Linked DNA regions of Pelodiscus sinensis. The protein of the gene in region 1 interacts with the protein of each later gene in a biochemical or structural test. Links are inferred from orthologs where the notes say so. Each region holds a gene or a part of one and is shown in the gene's direction. Other genes may lie near its edges.

What was found.
Region 2: the proteins of MAFG (region 1) and NFE2L1 form a complex in vitro, tested with the Homo sapiens proteins (2 studies listed by BioGRID and IntAct, with this or other methods). The link is inferred for Pelodiscus sinensis from reciprocal best matches to the Homo sapiens genes MAFG and NFE2L1.

The regions. Positions count from the first base shown.
Region 1 is NC_134730.1:29,832,287-29,843,058, reverse strand, and holds the start of MAFG (transcription factor MafG), read left to right. Parts: upstream 1-5,384; 5' UTR 5,385-5,551; intron 5,552-10,772. UniProt on the Homo sapiens protein: Since they lack a putative transactivation domain, the small Mafs behave as transcriptional repressors when they dimerize among themselves.
Region 2 is NC_134739.1:13,725,124-13,736,027, forward strand, and holds the start of NFE2L1 (endoplasmic reticulum membrane sensor NFE2L1), read left to right. Parts: upstream 1-6,526; 5' UTR 6,527-6,681; intron 6,682-9,291; 5' UTR 9,292-9,504; intron 9,505-9,552; exon of another isoform or gene 9,553-9,638; intron 9,639-9,814; 5' UTR 9,815-9,816; coding exon 9,817-10,326; intron 10,327-10,904.

The DNA.
Region 1 (10,772 bases):
CGTTCCTGGCACTGGTGGGGATCACCTGTACTGAGCTGGGCTGCCCCTTGCCCATCATCCCTGCCAGTGGTGATCGAAGTAGGCAGTCGGGCTCTGCAATGCTGGATGATCCCCCTCTTCCCCAGGCTCTCACCAGCAGGGCAAGATGTGTGGTGTGACTGCCCTCCAGGGGCAGCTTGGTCCAGGAGGTGCCCAGGCCAGAGTGTGGCCCCAGGTAGCTGTGAAACCTATGTCAGGTTGGGGGCCACCGGACAGCATATGCCTAGCTCCTCCCACATTCCTGGCAAGGGAAACCCCTGTGCTTGGCTGCCTCCCACTTCCCTGCCTTCTGGGGGGGGGGGGGGGGGTAAGCAGCCAATCAGCATGTCTGTGAGGAACTGCCCCAGATTGAAGTGTCAGATCAAACACTAAGAAGTCCCCAAGCCCAGATGGTATTCACCCAGGAGTTCTGAAGGAACTTGGATAGGAAATTGTGGGAACACTGTGTGTGGTGTGTAACTTACTGCTTAAACCAGCCTTTGTACCAGATGACTGGAGGATCGCTAATGGGACACCCATTGTTTAAAAAGCCTGCTCCAATAGGCTTTGCAATCACAGGCTGGTAAACCTAATATCAGTACCAGTTGGATTGCTGAAATTTAAAGAAAAACAAAACCTCCAGAATTATCAGACACATAGATGAACATGCTATGATGAGGAAGAGTCAATACAACTTTTCTAAAAGGAAATCAGACCTCACCAATCTATTAGAACTCTAGGAGGGGTTCAACAAATATGTAGACAAGGCAGATCCAGTGGATGAAGTACAGGCAGTCCCCGGGTTACGTACAAGATAGGGACTGTAGGTTTGTTCTTAAGTTGAATCTGTATGTAAGTTGGAACTGGCGTCCAGATTCAGCCGCTGCTGAAACTGACCAGCGGCTGACTACAGGAAGCCCGAGGCAGAGTTGCTCTGCCCCGGGCTTCCTGGAATCAGCCGCTGATCAGTTTCAACAGACTGAATCTGGACGCCAGTTCCGACTTACATACAGATTCAACTTAAGAACCCCAGGAGTCCCCAAGTCAGCTGCTGCTGAAACTGATCAGCGGCTGATTCCAGGAAGCCCAGGGCAGAGCAACTCTGCCTCTGGCTTCCTGTAGTCAGCGCTGGTCAGTTTCAGCAGCGGCTGACTTGGGGACACCTGGGGCAGAGCAGCTGGGGTGCTGCCGGGTTGGTCCAGTAGCGCCCAGAGCAGCACTGCGGGACCAACCGGCAGTGTCCCAGCTGCTCTGCCCCAGGCGTCCTGATTCAGCCGCTGCTGGGGAATCAGGATGCCTGGGGCAGAGCAACTGGGGTGCTGCTGGGTTGGTCCAGTAGTGCCTAGAGCAGCACTGCGGGACCAACCAGCAGCGCCCCAGCTGCTCTACCACAGGCGTCTGGAGAAAAGCCTGGTCTGCTGGGGGTGGGGGGTGCACTAGCTGCGCCCACCCCCCAGCAGACCAGGAAGACGCGGGCAGCGGACCGAGATGCACCGTGGTCCCGCCGTCCGGGTCCTCCGTGGCTTTGCTCCGTGTCTCCCTGGTCTGCTGGAGACCAGCAGACCAGGGAGACGGGGAGTAAAGCCTTGGAGGACGCTGGCAGCGGGACAGCCACCAGCAGACCAGGGAGACGTGGAGCAGCTTTTCTCGCCCTGGAGGACGCGGGCGGCGGGACCGTGGCGCATCTGGGCATCCCGCCACTTCCATCCTCCAGGGCGAGAAAAACATAAGTCGGATCCGCGTAACTCGGGGACTGCATGTATACCTAGACTTTCAGAAAGCCTTTGACATGGTCCCACATCAAAGGCTCTTAAGGAAACTAAGCAGTCATGGGATAAGAGGGAACATGCTTATGGATCAGTAACTGGTTACAAGGTAGAGAACAATGGTCAGTTTTCAGAATGGAGAAACTAGTGGTGTCTCCCAGGATGGGGCCCAATCTTAGTCAACATATTCATAAATTATCTGCAAAAAAAGATAAATAGTGATCTGGCAAAATATGCAGTTAAGACAAAAACTTCTTGAGATAGTTCAGTTCAAAGCTGACTGGGAAGTCTTACAAAGGAGTTTCACTGTACTGGATGATTGGGCAACCAGATAGCAGAGGACATTAATTGTTGATAAGTACGAAGTAATGCACATTGGAAAATATAATCCCAAAGAGAATACGTACAATATGACAGTCTAAATTAACTGGAGCCATTCAAGAAAGAGATCTTGAAGTCATTGTGGATAGTTCTCGGAAAAAACATCTTCTCAGTGTACAACAGTGGTCAAAAGAAAGCCAACACAATATTAGGAAATATTACAAAAGGGAAATATAATAAGATACAAAATATCTTTTGTATACAAGAACAAGGAGCAATGGTCTCAAGTTACAGTGGGGGAGATCTAGGTTCTTCTTCACACAGCGTGTTGTCAACCTGTGGAACTCCTTGCCAGAGGAGGCTGTGAAGGCTAGGACTATAATAGAGTTTAAAGAGAAGCTGGATAAATTCATGGAGGTTAGGTCCATAAAAGGCTATTAGCCAGGGGATAAAATGATGTCCTTGGCCTCTGTTTGTCAGAGGCTGGAGAGGGATGGCAGGAGACAAATCGCTTGATCATTGTCTTCGGTCCACCCTCTCTGGGGCACCTGGTGTTGGCCACTGTCGGTAGACAGGATACTGGGCTAGATGGACCTTTGGTCTGACCCAGTACGGCCGGTCTTATGTTCTTATGTTGTATAGTAGGAAAAACTATTTCCCTGGGAGGAGAGTGAAGCACTGGAATGGGTTCCCTAGGGAGGGGGTAGAATCTCCATCCGTAACTGTTTTAAGTCCCGACTTGACAAAGTCCTGGCTGGGCTGATTTAGTTGGGTTGGTCCTGCTTTGGGCAGGGGGCTGGACTCGATGGCCTCCTGAGGTCTCTTCCAGCCCTAGGATTCTATAATCACATGGTCTCTAAATAAATCCATGGTGCACCATACAGATGTGCATTAGATACAATAGAACTGGCAAAGGTTCAGAAAAGGGCAACACAATTTATTCGGGCTTTGGAATAGCTTCCATATGAGAAGCAATTAATAAGACTGGGACTAATCGGGTGGGAAAAGAGATGACTGGAAGGGACATGATAATGTATAAAATCATGACAGGTGTGGAGAACATAACTAAAGTGCTTATTTGCTCCTTCACAAAACACAAGAAACAAGGATCACACAACAAAAAGTATTTAACGCAAGACAACTTGTGGAACTTGTTGCTGGGAATGTTGCAAATGGCAAAATAATAACAGTCTTTCAAAAGGAATTAGGTAAGTTCACAGATACATTAGAAACCAGGAGAATGTGGGCGAGGTCCATGGGTGGCTATTAACAACGGTAGCCAGGGATACAAGCCTATGTTTCAGGTGTCCCTAACCTCTGCTGCCAAAAGCTGGAAGTGCATGACAGGCAAGGATTACTCTGCTCACCCCCCTCACGCACCTGGCACTGGTCACTGTCCATAGCCCGGCTGCTGGCCCACGCTCGCCTGGTTTCTTCGCTGACCATTCTTATTACCTGTCCACCTTGAACATACACTCTTCAGCCTTAGTTCATCTTTGGGGTTTCTTCCATGTGCCTCTGTCTACATTCTGCTTGCCTGCCATTCTCCTTAGGACAGTATTTCCTGCCAGCTCTATCTTCTTCTCCTTCAGCTCTATCAGACCCAGGCGAAGACAAACACGCAGAACATGCACTTTTCCTTTCACTTTGCACATTGCACAATACACTTGCCACCTTTTTTGCTGCAGCACAGGGGGCTCTTCTACATTCTCTAGGTCTGGCTATCATGTCACTAAGTGTACAATGCAGATCTTTCCTTCTAGCTTGGTGTCTCTCCTGCAACTTCAGTCAAGATTTCTTCTTCCGACTTCTGCACGTGTGCAATGCAGTGTTCTTTGTCAACAAGTGCAGTCCTGTGGCACCTTAGAGCAGGGCCGGCTCGAGCCATTCCTGTGCCCTGGGCAGCAGGCGTACGATGCATGTGCAGCTCCATCCCCGGGCACATGGCACATGCACAGCCCTGCCCCCCGGCACGCTGCGCACCTTACAGCAGCAATTGGGCTCGCGGAGCCTGATGGCAGCTTTAAGGGGCACGGCCTCTGGCCCTGGGTGTGTGGTGCCCCCCATAGGTTAGTGCCCTGGGCAGCTGCCCAGCTAGCTCCCCCCCTTAATCCGGCCCTGCCTTAGAGACTAACAAATGTATCAGACCACAAGCTGGGTGGGACAAAACCCACTTCATCTGGTGAGTTGGAGTGGAAATAGCAGAATCCAGAATACAGTAATTACTTGTTTAACATGTGCCCGCTTAACTCGTTTTCGCAATAGCACGATTTTTTTGGGGACCTTTTTTCAAATAACATGACCGTCCCCGAAATAACACAAAAATAATCAAGTAGCAGACTACTTCACGCAGCAATATAAGTTGGTGAAAACAGTGGTAATATGCAGGGCTCGCCAGCCGTGTGGTTCTGCACTCTGCGCATGCGCAGATCACTCTGCACTGGCTCTTCCGGGTTGTAATCTACTCGCCATGGGTGAGTAGATTACATTATTTGTAGCCCTGGTAATATGCTTGAGCAGATGAATACACGTGATCACAGTGCTTCTCCGCTCACTCGTGTTTATCTTTGTGTTTTAACAAACCAGGCGACTTGTGGTGCTAGATACCTAGTGCTGACGTTGCCGACCCAGCACCAACAAAAAATTGACTTTGCCACCACCACCTGAAATGCAACCCCCACCTTTTCCATTCTTTTTAATGGGAAAATTGACTCCATAGCACATTTTTGCTCAGCATGAACATTTTCAGAAACAGTGTTTAGTGTTTAATGAGGAATTACTGTAAGCAGAACCCACCTGTCAAGCGCAGGACCCAAGCTAATGATGCTAATTGGATCATAGAATCATAGGCCTGGAAGGGACCTCGAGAGGCCACTAACCTGTTCTGAAATATCTCCAGAGAGGGAGATTCCACCAGCTCCCGGTGGGGGGGGGTGTGTGACTGAGTCCCCCGTCACGGTGTAACTGCAGCTAGCAAGGCCGGGCCCCCTGGGCTGTGTGTGCTGCCCCCCCCGCTGCAGCTCTGAGCTGGGGGGCAGCGCAGGCCCCGCCTCCCGGCTCCCACCTAAGCCGGGCCCCGCCCCCGGCCCGGACACGCAGCGACCCCGCCCAGCTGCCTCGAGCCGCGTGCCCCCTTATGCGCCACGTGGGGCGGCCCGGCTCAGCTGCTCCCGCGCACGCTGCCCGCAGCACGTGGCCAGGCGAGCCGAGCCCCGCCCCGCCCCCTTCCCTTTAAGGCCCCGCCTGCCCCTTGTCTTTTTTTTACCCCGACACTAATGGCCGCAGCCTCCTTCCCTTTAAGGCTCGGGGCGGTTGCGCCGGGCGCTTCATGAATGGAGCCACGTGACCCAAACATCACGTGACGTGTCCGTGAGCGGCGGCGGGTGGCGGCGGATCTCGGAGTCTCGGTCCCTCCCAGCCCCGGCCCCGGCCGCACCGTGAGGCGGGTGAGCGCGCGGCGGGGCCCGGGCCATGGGGGGGGCAGGGACCCCCCCCCGCCTTTCCGGGGGCCCCCGCTCTGCCCCGGGCCTTGGGGGGGGCAGGGACCCCCCCGCCTTTCCGGGGGCCCCCGCTCTGCCCCGGGCCTTGGGGGGGGCAGGGACCCCCCCGCCTTTCCGGGGGCCCCCGCTCTGCCCCGGGCCTTGGGGGGGCAGGGACCCCCCCGCCTTTCCGGGGGCCCCCGCTCTGCCCCGGGCCTTGGGGGGGGGCAGAGGCCCCCCCGCCTTTCCGGGGGCCCCCGCTCTGCCCCGGGCCTGGGGGGGGCAGGGACCCCCCCGCCTTTCCGGGGACCCCCGCTCTGCCCCGGGCCTGGGGGGGGCAGGGACCCCCCCGCCTTTCCGGGGGCCCCCGCTCTGCCCCGGGCCTGGGGGGGGCAGGGACCCCCCCGCCTTTCCGGGGACCCCCGCTCTGCCCCGGGCCTGGGGGGGGCAGGGACCCCCCGCCTTTCCGGGGGGCGGGGGAGAGCGCCGGGAGCCCCCTCGGGAACGTGGGGGGGGAAGGAGGAGACCGCGGTGGGGAAGAGAGCGGGGCGCCCCCTTCCGTGGAAAACTGGGGGGGGGGAGAGTAGGGAGCCCCCCTTCCGGGGGGGAGCAAGCGGCGAGCCCCCCCTTCCCGGCTCGCTGGGGCGGACGCGTGATGCCTGCTCGCTGCTGTTGCCCCGCGCGATGCGCAGGCAGGTCGGGGGCCGCTGCGGGTCGCGCCGGGCGGGGGGTTCCGAGCTGCCGGTGCCTGCCCCGCGCCCCCCGCCCCGCGCCCCTTGTGCTTGCTGAGCAGACGCTGCTGACTCATCAGCATGAGGTCACCGGGTAGACGGTGCCAAGGGGGCGCTCGGCGGGAGGGAGGGAGGGACTCGTGGACCAGGGGCCGGCGTGTTGGTCGGTCCGTGTCTGCAAATGGATGGGGAGGGCGTCCGAGGCTGACACGCTGACTCATCGCCGAGGGGGGCGGTGTCATGGAGACAGGTCTCCCCTCGTGTGCGGCGCTGCCGGGAGGGGCTGCGGGCAGCAGGGCGAATGGGGGAGTTACAGACCGTAGGTTTGGGGGGTGAGGGGCGTAGAGACGGGCGGCTGTGCTGGGGGGGCATAGTGCGGATTCTGAGCACACTTCCAGGTCAGAACCAGCCCTGGGGCTGGGCTCCTGCTGTGAGACCAGCAGGCTGCTCTGGGTACCTCTCCCATGCTTGTGTGTACTTGGAACACCCTGTGCTCCTCTCCTGCCTCACTAGTGTTCCAGGTGATTCAGCTGCTAGGGCAGTAGTCTTCCCCTAGTCACCCGCAGGGCCCCAGAGCTACATATGCTCCTCATACCCCTAAATACAACTCTTTCAAGGGCTGGTCTGAGGGGGCTAGCATGCCCTTAATGTAAGCATAACGGGGAAAGCTGTGCTACAGATCTACTCAAAGTGCCCAGAAATCAACTAACCCCACCATTGTGGGACACCAGGGAGCCTTGGGTAATAGCCAAAAACTCTGTGTGCAACAAGTGCACCATCTCTCCCTGAGCAAGATTTCTGCTAAGGCTGAATGCTGAGGCCACAAGGCAGAAGAACAAAACAAGTGGGGTCAGGCCTGACACCTCTGGTAGCTATGCCCAGGGTCAGGGGTGCCTTTGCTTTACTAAAGGCCCTTGACCAGCTCTGTCAAGGGTGCATCTGAGTTTTACAATAACAGCCAATAATTGCTACAGAGTAATTTGAAGGATGTTTTGTGATTCTCCAGGACGTCTTGCCAAAGGCTTTAAAAGCACATGGCAGATACTTGCCTACTTCTAGGTGTATGTGCAGTGCCTATAGGAATTCAGGAATGGCCAGACTGGCTCAGGCCAGTGGTCTGTCTAGTCCAGTCTTTGACAGCAACCAGAACCAGTTGCTTTAGAGGAAAGTGTGAGAAATCCTTCAATGACCAGCTGTGGAATAAGTAGCCCACTGTGGTGTGTTCTCCTGCGCCTGACTGTAAGTGTAGACAAGTCCTAACTCCATTTGCGTGATCTTTAAAAACACATTGCCATAGAAACAGAGTTGACACAATGTCAGCCATTGTGTTAAGTTTCCCAGCCCACACACAACTTTTCTAAAGCTCCTACCTATCAAACCGAACCGTATAGTAGTAGCAAGACATTTATTCATAATGTCAGTTAGTACAAAACGTTAATGAATTAAGCTCCCAGCTACCAGGCAAGCAACCTCGCACTGCAGAAGTGGAAACACCCCCAAAGCCACACAGTAAGTGCAGAGCCAAGAGGAGGATTTGGGTGTTTTGCTTCCCAGTCCTGTGTTCAGAATGCTAGGTCACGCTTTCCAGTATCGGGGTGAACCCTCATGTTTGTTGCTTTGAGTGCAGTAGCCCCTAAAATGCACCAGGCACTTCCAAGCCCTGCAGAAGGCCTGTTTCCTGACCTAAACATGCTCAGAGTTTGAGGGAGCGGGGGAAGGGGAGGGAGAGGGAGGGACAGGAAGGGTCCAGATAAGCATGGTCTGTTATTCTGGTGGATGGTTTTATTACATGTATGGCCTCTGCCCCAAGTTATCCTACGTGTTGGGAATTTACTAGAATGTTAGTCTTTGCAGCATGTGCTCTCCCTCTTATCTGGGTGGTCAGCAAAGGTGCAGGCTCCTGCTGGCTCTCCCAGCTCCCCTGGCTGGGGTAGGTGTGTGTGAAGAGCTGCCTGTAGGATTCCTTTGGCTGTGAAGATGTACGCTGCAGGAGGACTCTGCTAGAGCCAACGAACCTGCGGTGTCCCACAGTCTGCTAGCCAGTAATTCCACTGCAATGGTATGGGGCTCTGAGCTGAGAGGTGATGGCTGGGCTTGCGTGAGGTGTCAGTGAGACCTGACAGGACTTTCTTCAGTCACCTCAGAGGCTGGACTGCTTTCGCTTTGGCCTGCCTGTGACCATAACTGCTAGAGAAAAGGACAAGCCAAGAAGCTGCATCCCTCCTGTCTTTCTCCTGAACATTTGCTTGTCTCTGTGCCCCAGGGACCCGACTTGGGCTGCTGTCTCCTGTTTTCACTTGGGGTGAAAGCTTCTGTGCTGGGGCAGCTGCTGCACATTGTGCCACTGGGGGAGAGTGCGTGTTTGTTCTGCATTGCTGTTGACATTTCCTTGGGGGAAGGGCTTAGCGGCACTGAGGCGCACTGCATCCTACAGTGGGGTCTAAGAACTGGACTTTGGGGGCTTTCCTGAGCCCGGCCAGTGGCCAGGTTTGAGGGAGAAGTGTGAAGCAAATGCTACTTATGGAAAGACGCGCTGCTGGCTGATGCTTAGTCCCCTGCCCAGAGCTTCAAAAAGGAGCTAGATAGATTCATGGAGGTCAGGTCCGTCAATGGCTACTAGCCAGGCTGGGTAGGAATGGGGTCCCTGGCCTCTGTTTCTCTGGAGGTGAGTGACGGGAGGAATCACGAGATGACCTGTTGTGATCCCTCCCTCTGGTGCATCTGGCATCGGCCACCGTGGGCAGGCAGGACACTGGGCGGGATGGACTATTGGTCTGACCCAGTCTGGCCATTCTTATGTTCTTAGCAAGGTTTGGAGGGGTTGAGGGGGTTTAGCTGCTTGCGGTGGGAGCAGAAAGTGCTACTGGAACCTTCCCTGTCAGGTTTCAGGGCAGACTGAGGGTCCTGCTTAGCGCGGAATTGCTCTCCCTCCTTGTGGCCTGGCATTTCCTCTCCTGGGAGACGGGCTTCTCAGGCGGCCGCTTATTCCATAAAGGTTTGCTGCTCGAAGCTGGGAAGGCCTCTGCTGTGCACTGTCTTGGGCCCCTTCCTCTTCCCCTTCGCAGCAGAGCTGTGCGTTCAGGAAGGGGCGAACGCGCTGGGCAAAGGAGTATCGGAGACTCGGCTCCGCTGTGTTCGCTACACTGCAGAGATGCTCTGGGCACTAGTTCGACGTGGGCTCATCTGCTGCAGCATGAGTGGGGGGTGATGTGAAGAAATGAGAAGTACAGTCTCCACTTCTGCTTGTCCAGTCAGAGCGAATATCCCAGCAGGGCCCTGCCTGCCTGTGGTCACACCCCTGGACAACTGTGGCTGCCAGTCCCCTGCAGAAGCCCTCACTGCGTCGCTCCGTCGACGTCCCTTGTGGATGGGCCTCCCCTGGCGGAGCTGTCTCCAGCTGGCTGCGCTGCTGGAAGGGGTGACGTCAGCGTGTTTACACTAGTTTGGTGGCACAGTTCTGTGAATCGGGAATGCTGAGAATGGGGCCTGTGTTGAATCATGCGTTCTGCTGTCAGCTCTGCTGTGCCGCTTTTAGCTGAGGAGAGAATTGGCTGTGCTAGTGCTGAGTTCAGGCCTTTGGAGTCCTGGGGAAATGTGTTGAGGCTGCATTTTCCCCTTGGAGCCGACGCGCTTGGCGCTCTTCCGGGTGATTGTTCTTCAGGAAGCCATTGAAAGGCCAAGACATTGGCAGTCTGGGACCTTGGACAAGCTTGTTCTGAGTGTCCTGTCAGTCTCCCCGCAGGCCTGCCTGGGGCCTTCCTGTCAGCCCTGGCAAGTGGCCAGCCAGCCTTCCCCCAGTCTCCGTGCCTGAGGATGGGCACCATGGCCCCTCTTGGGGGGGGGCGGACTCATCAGATGCTTTCAGCTGGACTCCTGTGCCCCGGCAGAGGCGCTGGGCTGCGCTGGAGGCCTGGCAGATCGGGTCCCTTCTGTTTGAACCGTTTAACTCAGACACAAGGAAGAGTTAACTGTTCTCAGCGGCTCCTTGGCACCTTTCCAAGCTGTTGCTCTTTCTCCCGCCCTCCCACCCGCAGTGCTTGGGAGCACCCAGCCACTGCCTCCCCCTCCCCTGGGTCCTTTCAGCTCCCACCTGCCCCTAACTCGTCTCAGGGTGACTCTCCGGCCTGGGACCAGTTGTCCAGGGATGTGAGATTTCGGGAGCTCAAGGGCCAGGAAGGATTATAGCACCTGTTCCTGGGCCCAGTGCGTTCAAACAGCCTGTCCGCCCGCGGGGATCCTCTGGGGTAGCAGGAAAGGGGCATGTGGAAACACTGCCCGGGACAGACTTACCGGAGAGCTGAGGGGCCTTGCTGGGCAGCGTAGACCCTGCGAGTGCGTGAACCTGTCTGTCTCCTGCCTCCATTAACACTCTGCTTGGGATTATCGGCAGGACAGTCAATGTTCGGAGATCAGTGCCAAGACTGAATTCAACCCGTGTGTTTGTATGGGCTGCAAAT
Region 2 (10,904 bases), on another chromosome or scaffold:
ACTTTCTGGAATTCACAACCATAAACCGTAGAGCTGTATGAAGATCCAGCTTCTGTTCTGGACCTCCTGGGTCAGCTCGTGTATGGGGCAGCTCTGCTGTGGGCTTTTTGGGTACAAAACAGCGAGAGTGTTTACACTGCCCTGCGATTTTGGTTGGGAAAATCACCCTGTTTTGGCAACAACAAAAAACTTGAGTCCCTTTGAGAAACTTTTCTCTTTTCCCCTCCCTTTACTGTCGACACAGAGCCAGTGTGGACTCTGCAGTTTGTTTTGTGGAGAGAACTGGCTTCTGTCAGTAGCCCATCATGCCTGCCCTGATGGCTACTCAGTGTTTTGGGATCTCTGCTGCCCTGCAGGCATGCGCCCCATCCCTTTCAACACTCGGGGAAGTGTCTGGCAGTGGAGTGAGCGGCTCCGTTTGGGGAACAAACCAAGAGCAAATCATTGGGATGCTCCTTTTCTGCCCTGCTAGAAGCAGAGCAGCAGGCTGGCTGCTGCTGCAGGGGGAGGGCTGGAGAGGCGGATTCCTCAGCATGCAGAGCTCCTAGGGAATCCCAAGAAGCAGCGGGGGAGGAGGATCCGCTCTGCCTTCCCACAGCACTGCCCTGTGGGATGCTCCCCCACAATGCTTTGCTCTGTTTCTCCACAGGGAGCTAGAATGTGGTCAAGAAATGTTGACAATGGGAGGCAGGAAACCGGTTTGATCACTTTTCACTTTTGGAGGCTTTTGCATGTCAACAAAAGCCAAACCCTCCCAGTTTGGTTACCTGAAGGGGGGCTGGATGCCCCTGCCTGGGGTTAGTCTGAAAAAAGCCCAGCTCCTCTGAACTCCTAGAAGTGGGTAATAACTGAGCTCCAGCCAAACCAAGCTCGGGAACCCTGCAGGACCTAAGCACCCGATGATCCAGGGGTGAGCAGTAATTTTTGATGGGGGGGGGGGGCTCCAAGGGTTTGGTAAGCGGTGGAGGGCCGCACCGCACGCTTCCTTGGTATTGAGCAGGTGCGAGTCTGGGATGGAGGCCGGGTGCAGACGGGCGCTTGGGGTGAAATCCTCACCGCTAAGAGGCTTGTAACATTGGGAGGCCGCGGTCGTCTCTCTGGAGACAAAAATCATTATCGGGGCTTCATTGTTAAACCCTTTGCCAGTTAGCAGCCTCCACCAGAGGGGACGCCGCGCCTCTGGGCTGCACCAGCCCCGCTGGGGTCAGAGAGTGAAGTTTGCTACAATATGAACCCCCTGACGGCTGCTCTAATTTATAATGGCTGGCTGTGGATACCAGAGGGGTTATTTACCAACCAGAGACAGCTGGAGCACGGTGTTTCCTGGCCAAGTTCCCCCTCCCGGGTTCCTTTGTGGCACCCCCCCCCCCCCCCCCGAGAGCACAAAGAAGACAGGGCAAGGGACAAAATCTGGCCCAGTATTTCCCGTGCTCCTAGTGGGCAAAATAATTATAACGTTCACTTCTCTGCACCCATTTGTAAGGCCAGGCAGCGTGAGGATGGGGAGGGCGGGTTTGCTGGTATTTAACAAAAAAATCTTTTGGAGTTGAGCCACAAACAAAAGAGTTTGAAATGTTGGGTGAATTGAAAAGTTGGGGGGGGGGTTGGGCCAAATGAAACATTTCATTACATCACAAAAACATTTCGTCTGGATTTCTACATGTTAAAGGTTTTTAAAATAAAAGGGAAGCAAATGTGTCAATGAAACATCCTATTGAACTGAGAAATTGACACCGTGTAGAGGTTTCTGCATGTTTGTGGTGGGGTTCCCTGGTGAAATTGACAGGACAGAGCGGCGGTCTCTACAGCTATGCGCACGCTTTGCACTGGTGTAAATGCCTGCCCACGGGGCAGAGTGATGGTGAATCAGGGCCTAGATCAGACCACCTGGACCCTCATTAGGTGCTGCAACACCCCAGGGCTCCTGGCCTAGCACCTCGGGGCCCAGCTGCTGGGACTCTGCTGGGGACCCAGCTGCTGCCCTGCTCTCTGCTGCTGGCTCCGTACTCAGGATCCCAGCTGCTGCCCCGTGCGCCTGGGGTCCTAGCTGCTGGCCCCCCACACCAGGGCTTTGCTCCCAGCCTCAGCTGGGTGGGGGGAAGCCAGAGGAAAGGGGAGGATGTCAGCACCCCTCACTCCTAAAACTGTTCCCCCCCGCCGCCTTACTGGCTGTGCTTGGTATTTCAGGCTGTTATTACCCCATCGGGCTGCAGAGGGGGGGAAGGCCACACCCGGGCTTGGGGAACCTTGTTCCCCATCAGATGCTGAGAGGAGGGGGCTGCACCTGCACAGTGGCTCTGGCCTTTGCAGAACAAACTCCGACCTGACTTGACCTCGACATGCAGCTGGGAACTTTCCGGGGGGAGGGGCAGCTCAGAGCTTTCTAGGTGCTTCCTCTGGGTTTCCTTTCTTGGCACCTCCATAGCCACAAGGATCCTGACTTGTCCGCTCTCAAGAGCAGCTGCCTGTCTAGCCAGGGAGTACCCAGGCACTGATCCCTTTGGGATGCAAGCCCTGGGACAGATGAGGCTGCTAATCATCAGAGGGTATAGCTCAGTGGTAGAGCATTTAACTACAGCTCAAGCGGTTCCCCAGTTCAAATCCAGGTGCCCCCTTCAAAAGTTTTAGGGCAGGGGACTGGACTCAATGGCCTCTCGAGGTCCCTTCCAGTCCTAGTATTCTCTGCCGTCTGTGCTGCTCGTAGGGACGGTAACATTAGATGAATCAACTAACGGAACAGTGGATGGGATTTCTATCGACTAGTTGCTGAGGGCGCTTCCGCTTTGAAATGTAGCAAGCGCCCGCCTGGCTGTTGTGCCACTGACGTGTACGAGGGCCCAGCAGAGGTTCATGTGGATTTCAAAGACTGAAGCACCGCAGGGAGCCCAGAGTCAGCCGGGGACTCCCCGCTGGTCCCCGGTTCCAGGCTGCATTTCTATCTTTGAAATGCACAAGAGCTTCTGCTGGGACTCTCTCGTACATTTCAAAGGCAGAACGACACCGCGCCCCTGCCCCCTCCCACTGAGCTGGAGCAGGGGGGGAACCAGCTTTTAGGCCAGCTCCCCTCACTACCCCCTTCTTCCCCCCCTCCCCCACTGCCTTTTTCTCATAGAGGCAGCGGTCGGGGGGGTGGGGGAAGCGACTAGTTGACTAGTGTGTTGACTCTTGGCTAAGGTTTTGCTTATTGGACAGTCGACTAGTTGATTAGTCGCTTACACTCCTAGTTGCTAGCGAGGCTCCGCAACATAACACAATCTCATTAGGCTTCAGAGTCATACAGCACCACCTCCTATGCTCAAACATCCCATTGTCTGCCAGGCTGGGAATGCCCCAGAGCATGGGCTGAGGTTTGATTAAGGCAGCTGTTCCTGCTCTGTGCCGTCTTGTATAAATAGCAGCTAGCGGGGTGGTGCTGCTAAATGCCTTAGCTTCCTGATGGATCCACCCTCTGTGAGCCACCCAGCTTCAGACAATGGCTGGGAAAGTTCCCTTTTAAAGGGCACGTGGAACCGGGCACTGAAGCGCTCGGAGGCTTTTCGCAAAGAGGCGCTCCAGTCTATTGGAATGGATTCGGGAAGTCTAGCAGGCTGCTCCAACGTGTCTCCCATGGCTCAGACTGGTTCTCGAACACTTTGTGAATCTCTTTCATCCTTCCCCTCCTTGGCAGAGGGCCGTTTTCCACAGCCGGGGTAAGACAACTCCCGAGGGAGTCAAGCCAAATCCTCACAGAAATGTAAGGTTGGAAGGGACCTCAAGAGGTCGTCTCGTCTAGCTCCCACGCGGAGGCGAGACCAAGTACGCTAGTCAATCCCCGATGACAACGTTCCTTCTACGTTTTTTCCATCCAGTGTGCGGAATACATTTTGCCATGTGCACGAAGGCAAGTGTGGATGTGCACCACCAATACACACACACGCTGTCGGCTGTGGGTGCTCTGCCAAGTAGCTGAGTGGGATTTGAATCCCTCCTGGGCAGCAGTCCAAGTACTCGGCTTACAGGGAATGCTGCCGGACCGGTGCTTGTCCGGCCTGTTGGTAAAAACCTCCACGGATTCCACAGTCCCCTCGGGAGCCGGATCATCCTACTTTGCACATGGCTCAGGGCAGCAGGGTGAAGCCCCTTTGCCCTGCCAAGATGAAATCCAGCCCAGGTGGGCAGTGCCCCGCGGAGGCCGAGGCGAAGCCGGTTAGTGGGCGGAGCCCCGCTCGTAGCTGTGCGCTTCAGAAAACGCCGTTTCCAAAAGGGACATCTCTGCTGGCGGCCTGGCCACAGAAGCTGGGCTCTGAGTCCCCTTTTGCCCCTGCCCCAGCGGGATGCTTGCCTGCCAATGTGCATCTCGTGCCCTGGTCCGTGGCTCAAAGATCACTGGTGCTAAAGCAACATGGAGATTGACTGGGAACAGGCCTATCCATGGGACGGACCCTGGGGGCACAGCCCCACGGCCAGGATGGCAAGTAGGATTGAGCCAGGCAAGGAGCCCAGCTCTCATAACGGGGATCAATTGGGAAAGATACAAAGAACCGGCTGAGATGGGTGATTTGAGACACTCCTGCTCCGGGCTGCTTGTTTATTGAAATAACTCACAGAGAATCCATCAGCAGAAAGCAGAGACGTGAACTCCTGTGTAATTCGTTAACCGGTTAGAGGTGATGTTTAGCCAAGTAACCGGGGGCCGGGCGGGGGTCCCCTCTAGCCTGGCTAGGCTACAGCAGCTCCCCCGCCCACTGCGGCCAGGCTGGAGTGGCGACCCCCCCCCCCCCACCATAAGCAGGGGCAGCTTCAGCCTGGCCAGAGCAGCCCCCTGCCTTCAATGGATCCTGCCTGCAGCAAGTGCCGAGCTGCTCTAGCCCCACTGGTTAACCTGAATTGTAGCTGTCACCCATTAAGGGCAGTGCTTACGGGTTAACCAGTTAACCTTTCACATCCCTGGCGAGAGGCACTTGGGTACTGACGGAACAATCCAATGGTCAATAATCACATTGGACCCACTGATACGCAGCACCCCAGACTCCCTGGCAGCCATGGGGGCAAATGGAAAGAGGGGACATTAAAGGTCCTGTACTAGGGACCCAATGGAGAGAGCAACAGGATGGTGCTCACTCGCTGGCCCGCTCCGCTGCACGACCTCCCGCCAGTCGCTTCCCCTTTCTCCACAAGCAGAAGAGAGAGCAGAGCAGTGCTGCCGGTGAGGTGCTCGGAGATCCACGCACAAGCAGCCCGGGGTGCTAGGATGAAGACTCATCTGAGGCACCTGCAGGACTTAAGGGTGAGATCTGAAAACTGCCGCTGGGAGTTTCAGTCCTACCTCCTAAAGCAGAAGGTTCCATGGAAAAGGCCCTCGAGCTAAGGGCGCCTTGTCGAAAACGCAAGACAGTTAGCAAAGGCACAGGACAAAAAACGGTCAGGCGAGTAACCTTGGCACTCGATTAAGGACCTTAGAAATGAGCGATTAGCCCCTGTGATGACGAATGATGGGCCAGGGGTGAAAGCACAACGCTGGCGGACCCGATTCCTCAGTTCTATTTCCAGCTCTGCCATTGGCTCTCACTGTAGTTGGCCGTATTAAGGCCTCTGGGGAGGGGCAGTTTCGAGGCCTCTGGGGTGGTAGTTGGCGGTATTTACGGCCCCGAGATGAAAGCTGGCAGTTTTGAGGCACCCAGGGTAGTAGTTGGCGGTTTCGAGGTCCCCAAGATGGCAGTTGGCGGTTTCCAGGCTCCTAGGGTAGTAACTGGCAGTTTCCAGGCCCCCAGGGTAGTAACTGGGGGTTTCCAGGCTCCTAGGGTAGTAACTGGCAGTTTCCAGGCCCCTAGGGTAGTAACTGGGGGTTTCCAGGCTCCTAGGGTAGTAACTGGCAGTTTCCAGGCCCCCAGGGTAGTAATTGGCGGTTTCGAGGGCCCTGGGGTGGTAATTGGCGGTTTCCAGGCCCCTAGGGTAGTAACTGGGGGTTTCGAGGGCCCTGGGGTGGTAATTGGCGGTTTCCAGGCCCCCAGGGTAGTAATTGGCGGTTTCGAGGGCCCCGGGTGGTAGTTGGTGGTTTCAAGGCCCCCCAGTGGCCTGGCCGAATGGTGTCACAAGAGGGCTCCAACAGGGGGCCAGGCACTGGTGCCTGATGGCCGGGTCGAGCCTACACTCTCTCCAGGCCGGGCTTCTAGGGCGTAGGCCGGAGGGAGCCGGGAATCGCCATGGCAACAGCATGGGAAAGGCGTCGTAGTGGATCCGCAGAAGGTGATTGGTCACTGATGCCGTCATTCAAGCTGCCGGGGGGCGGGCGTACGTGTGCGTCTGCGGAGCGGCGAGATCCGCTATCGCGATTGGCCGGCCTTGCCGTCACTCACTCTGACGCGAGCTCGCTGTTGTTCTCTGTCTAATTGGCGCCGCGCTCCGTCACTGAAGCGGCTTTGGGAGCGGGCGGGGTGGGCTGGGCTTGCTGCTTTCCGATTGGGTAGCTCAGTTGCCACTCTCCAGCCCCTGAGGGCGGGCGGAACGCCTCGCCCGGTGATTTGGCGACCGACCTGTCAGTTCCACTGTCCTCGGCGGCGGATTGGCGGGATGCCGCACGGGGGCGGGCTCAGGCCCGCGGTGCAGGGAAGAGGCTGTTGGAGCTGAGCGTGTGGGGCCGGCCGGCCGGCGGTGGCTGCCTGCGGGGCCGGAAGCCTCGTGGCTGAGGAGCGCGCGGAGCGGGTACCGGAGAGAGACCGGGCGCTGAGAGGGGGGAGAGGGAGAGACAGGGGAGCGGGGAGGGGCAGAGTGGGGGGGCTAGGCGGGGGGAGGGGTAGAGTGGGGGGAGGGGGGCAGAGTGGGGGGGGCTAGGCGGGGGGAGGGGCAGAGTGGGGGGAGGGGAGCAGAGTGGGGGGCTAGGCGGGGGGAGGGGAGCAGAGTGGGGGGCTAGGCGGGGGGTGGGGAGCAGAGTGGGGGGCTAGGCGGGGGGAGGGGCAGAGTGGGGGGAGGGGAGCAGAGTGGGGGGCTAGGCGGGGGCAGGGGGCTAGGCGGGGGGAGGGGAGCAGAGTGGGGGGCTAGGCGGGGGGAGGGGGGCTGGGAGGGGGGCAGAGTGGGGGGCTAGGCGGGGGGAGGGGGGCAGAGTGGGGGGCTAGGCGGGGGGAGGGGAGCAGAGTGGGGGAGGCAGGGATAAGTGCAGGGTGAGGTTGAAGAGGAAGTGAGGGGTGGGGGGAGGAGGGAGCCGGGTGTAGTGGGTAGCTGGGGGTAAGGGAGAGTTGGGGTGAAGACAGGTGGGAGGTATGTATTTGAGTGTGTGTGCATATGGGAAAATTGGAGCTTAAGGGGAGACTAGCATTTGGGGGGCTATAGGAAGATTCTCCTCTACCCACCCCTCTGCTGGTTCACATCTCCTGTGAAATGTGGGTAAAAGGTTTAGGGAGGAGGATTGAAAGCCCAAGAATAGTGTTGGGGGGGAAGTTCCCTTCCACCCCATAGATTCCAAATGGGAAGTGCGAGGGAGGGTGTTTACCCTAATGGGTTTGAGGGACGGGGTTGTCTTGGGGTTCAGACAACGGGTGGGAGGTGAATTAGAGAGTGTAGGAGATTAAGGGGCATGCAGGACATGATGTACAGTAGAATAGAATTTAAGCAGTGATATTTTTGGGGTGGATGGGACGAAAGGGACTTAACAGACTGTACAGTGGATGGGTTTTTAGCAACTGGCACCCCATTGTGCTATTTAAATAATAGCGGGCAGCCCCCTATCTTCTCATGCATTTTGCAGTAGTGTTCAGCACTGGGGGAATTCCTGTTGTTCCCATGAGGATTGGGGTGCTCTTTGGGAAGATGTAGAGAGGATCAAATTGTTTGAGGAAATGAAAAGCACAGTGATCTAGATGCTGGAATTAAAGGTTTGGGAGGAATCTAAAACTTGGTGGGCAGGGACTCCTTGTTCCTTTCAATTTCTGAGTGACTACATCATAAAAAGTTTCCCAGTACAAAAGGAAATAGTTTGGCTGCTGGATTAATTGAGATCTGACAAGTGAGAGAGTTGATAAATTAGAAAATTGGTCTGTAATTATATGTAGGCTCGTTAGAAGTAGATTTTTATCCATGAACATCAGTACATATTGAGTTTTCTGTATACACACAAACTGATGAGAAAATATTTCCATCAATGATAATCAACAGACAGTTTGTGAAAATGTATTACTTTGATTTAAGGATATTGACTTTGCATATTTTGGCATGTGATGTTGATAATTTGGGTTTTAATGTTTATTAAGCATTAACTTTGTTTTGAATCTCAACTTCCACTGTCATTAAATAATTATCTGGCCTGCATAATTTTCCATAACTGTAAAAATTTAAATGATTAAAAATTGAAAAAAATGCTAAAAATACAATTGATGTTGAAATTGTAAAAGAAGAATTCTGCCCAACCTAAGTATTGGTTGACTCTTAACAAATGAGGTAGGCGGGAAGGAATTGAAATTGTGCTTGTTTTGCTTTGAGGGGTTACTTAGTTGCGGATAACAACAGAAGGGACAGCTGAGATTTGGGGATTAGGGGTTACTTTAAACACTCCTCCCACTCTTGCCAATATTGGGAGTTTGAGAACAGAAATCCATCCACAAACAGTGCTCAGAAGCTGTTGAGTCCACACCTGGCAACCTTTGAAACCTATAAAAAAACAGGGACACTGGGTGGAGGTGAAAAATAGGGATGTACCCTGTGACATCCTCAAAATACATTGAAGTGGGACAGGTGTTTGAAAGAACAGATGGTGGAGGAGGGGTGTAAATTTCACTGCAAAATTGCACTCTCCTCAATTGGGACGCTTGGTGTGTGGTGAATTGCCCAGGAAGGTCACATTGTGGAATAAATGCATCATAAGCATGTTTTGTTTTGTTTCTTTAAAGCTCCTTTGTGAGTGGTGGCAGGCAGAGGAGAAAGGACTGCATAGGCAGGTAGCGAGCCCTGGGGTTGCTTACATTTGCTTGTGCAGTGGTCACGGCCGCTTATTTGCTGCATAAAGCCCTGATTGGAAGCTCACTGAAAACTGGAGTGAAAGGGAGTCAGAGCTGAATTCCTGCTTCAGAGAGTGGAAGCTGACGCACCAGCCTAAGAATAGAGCAGAGAGGGGAACTCGTACAACATTAACTCAAAAGATAGCCCCTGTTTTGTGGATATTTCATCAGCAAGCCATTCTTTGGAGGGCAGTCGATTTTATTTTGTACATGGCTTATATACAGCGGTGAAACTGATGCTTCCCAGTATAGCAACTGCATGTGTAATGTGTAGGGTGATGTCTCGTCAGCGTCTTATCGTGTTTGTTCTGTGGTTCTATTTCAGCTTCTGATGAAACCACAGCCAGGACTGGAGGAGTCGCTGAACCCTTCCTTGCTCCAAATCTTTGACTCTTCAAGCTTCCTTCAGGAAGCTTCTCAAACCCAGAGGAGAGGGAGAAGCAGCAGCTACTTGTGCTAGAGAACACACCCTGCTCTGGAAGCAGAGTGGTGAATCAGGAAGGCGAGAGGAAGTGACTGCATGTGGACTTTTGAGACAGTAAGTCACATGGGTTTATATGTAACCTCGTGGACTGTTATCAAACAGCAATAGCTCTGAAGAGGAGGGGAGCGTGCTGGAGAGGGACTTTGTTTACTGGGGTATAAGTTCTTTCCTCTGGAGAGTGTAGATAGGTAATTTGGCTCTCCCGAGTAACCTGATTTTGGAACAATTGGGGGATTAAAAAAGAGAACCTAAAACTGAAGCTTTGAATTTTTCTAAAACTTTCCCTCTTGGTGAATGAGGATACTTTGAGCTCTCGGTTTTTGCTGTGTTTCCCCACCCATGTTTGTTTTTTTTCCTCTTCCAGAAATGCTTTCTCTGAAGAAATATTTCACTGAAGGGCTCATTCAATTCACCATTCTACTCAGCTTGATAGGTGTTCGTGTGGACGTGGATACCTACCTGAACTCGCAGCTTCCCCCTCTGAGGGAAATCATTCTGGGCCAGAGCTCTGCTTACACCCAGACGCAGTTCCACAACCTGCGGAACACCTTGGACGGATATGGCATCCATCCAAAAAGTGTAGACCTGGACTATTACTTCACAGCCCGCAGGCTCCTCAACCAGGTGAGGGCCCTGGACAGGTTCCAGGTGCCCACCACCGAAGTAAATGCCTGGTTGGTGCATAGAGACCCGGAGGGTTCTGTGTCCAATGCCCAGCCCAGCCCAGCCATCACCCTTGAGAATGGCAGTGGCCTGCAAGATGGGACCAATCCTGACAATGGCATGAGGGAGAGCGGAGCTGAGCAAGGATTTGGTGAAGAATTGGAAGACCTAGGAGCAGTGGCTCCTCCAGTGAATGGAGACTTGACCAAAGAGGTAGGCAGCACCTTTTAGGAAAGATGTGTTCCAAAGAAAGGGAACGGTTGGAGTGTGACGTTGTGTGTGCGTACCTTCTGCAATGCCCACTGAAAGCGGGTGTGCTCTGCACTTCTGAATAGCCGATTCCCTAGGAATCGATGAGCTGCATGGCACTGGACTGAATAGTGAGGTTGGATGTTCTGGAGGGGGGCGGGGCTGTGTCTTGGTCTGCAGTCGGGTGGCTAGTCAGTAATTCAGTTTGAGTGGAGATTTGCATTTATGGGAATGAGACAATAGCACCTTCTGTCGATTTCCCAGTATTGGGTAACAGCCCCTGAGTCATGTGGGTGGTAGATTACTTGGCTCTGGAGTTTGTCCAAATAATGTTTACAGCTTGGTTGTCAACATAGAGTGGGGAGGAGAGTGAATTGGAAAATGGCTTTTTTTTCCCATCCAAATGTATTCTCTTAGTTGCTATGACACAGCCATGTGTTTGACTCCTCAGCAGCTGCTACGCTGTTTCCATTAGCGTTCTTTGTCAAGGCACATTCTGGCTTTGCTTCCCCGTGGCTGTATTGTATTGCTTCTAGTGATGA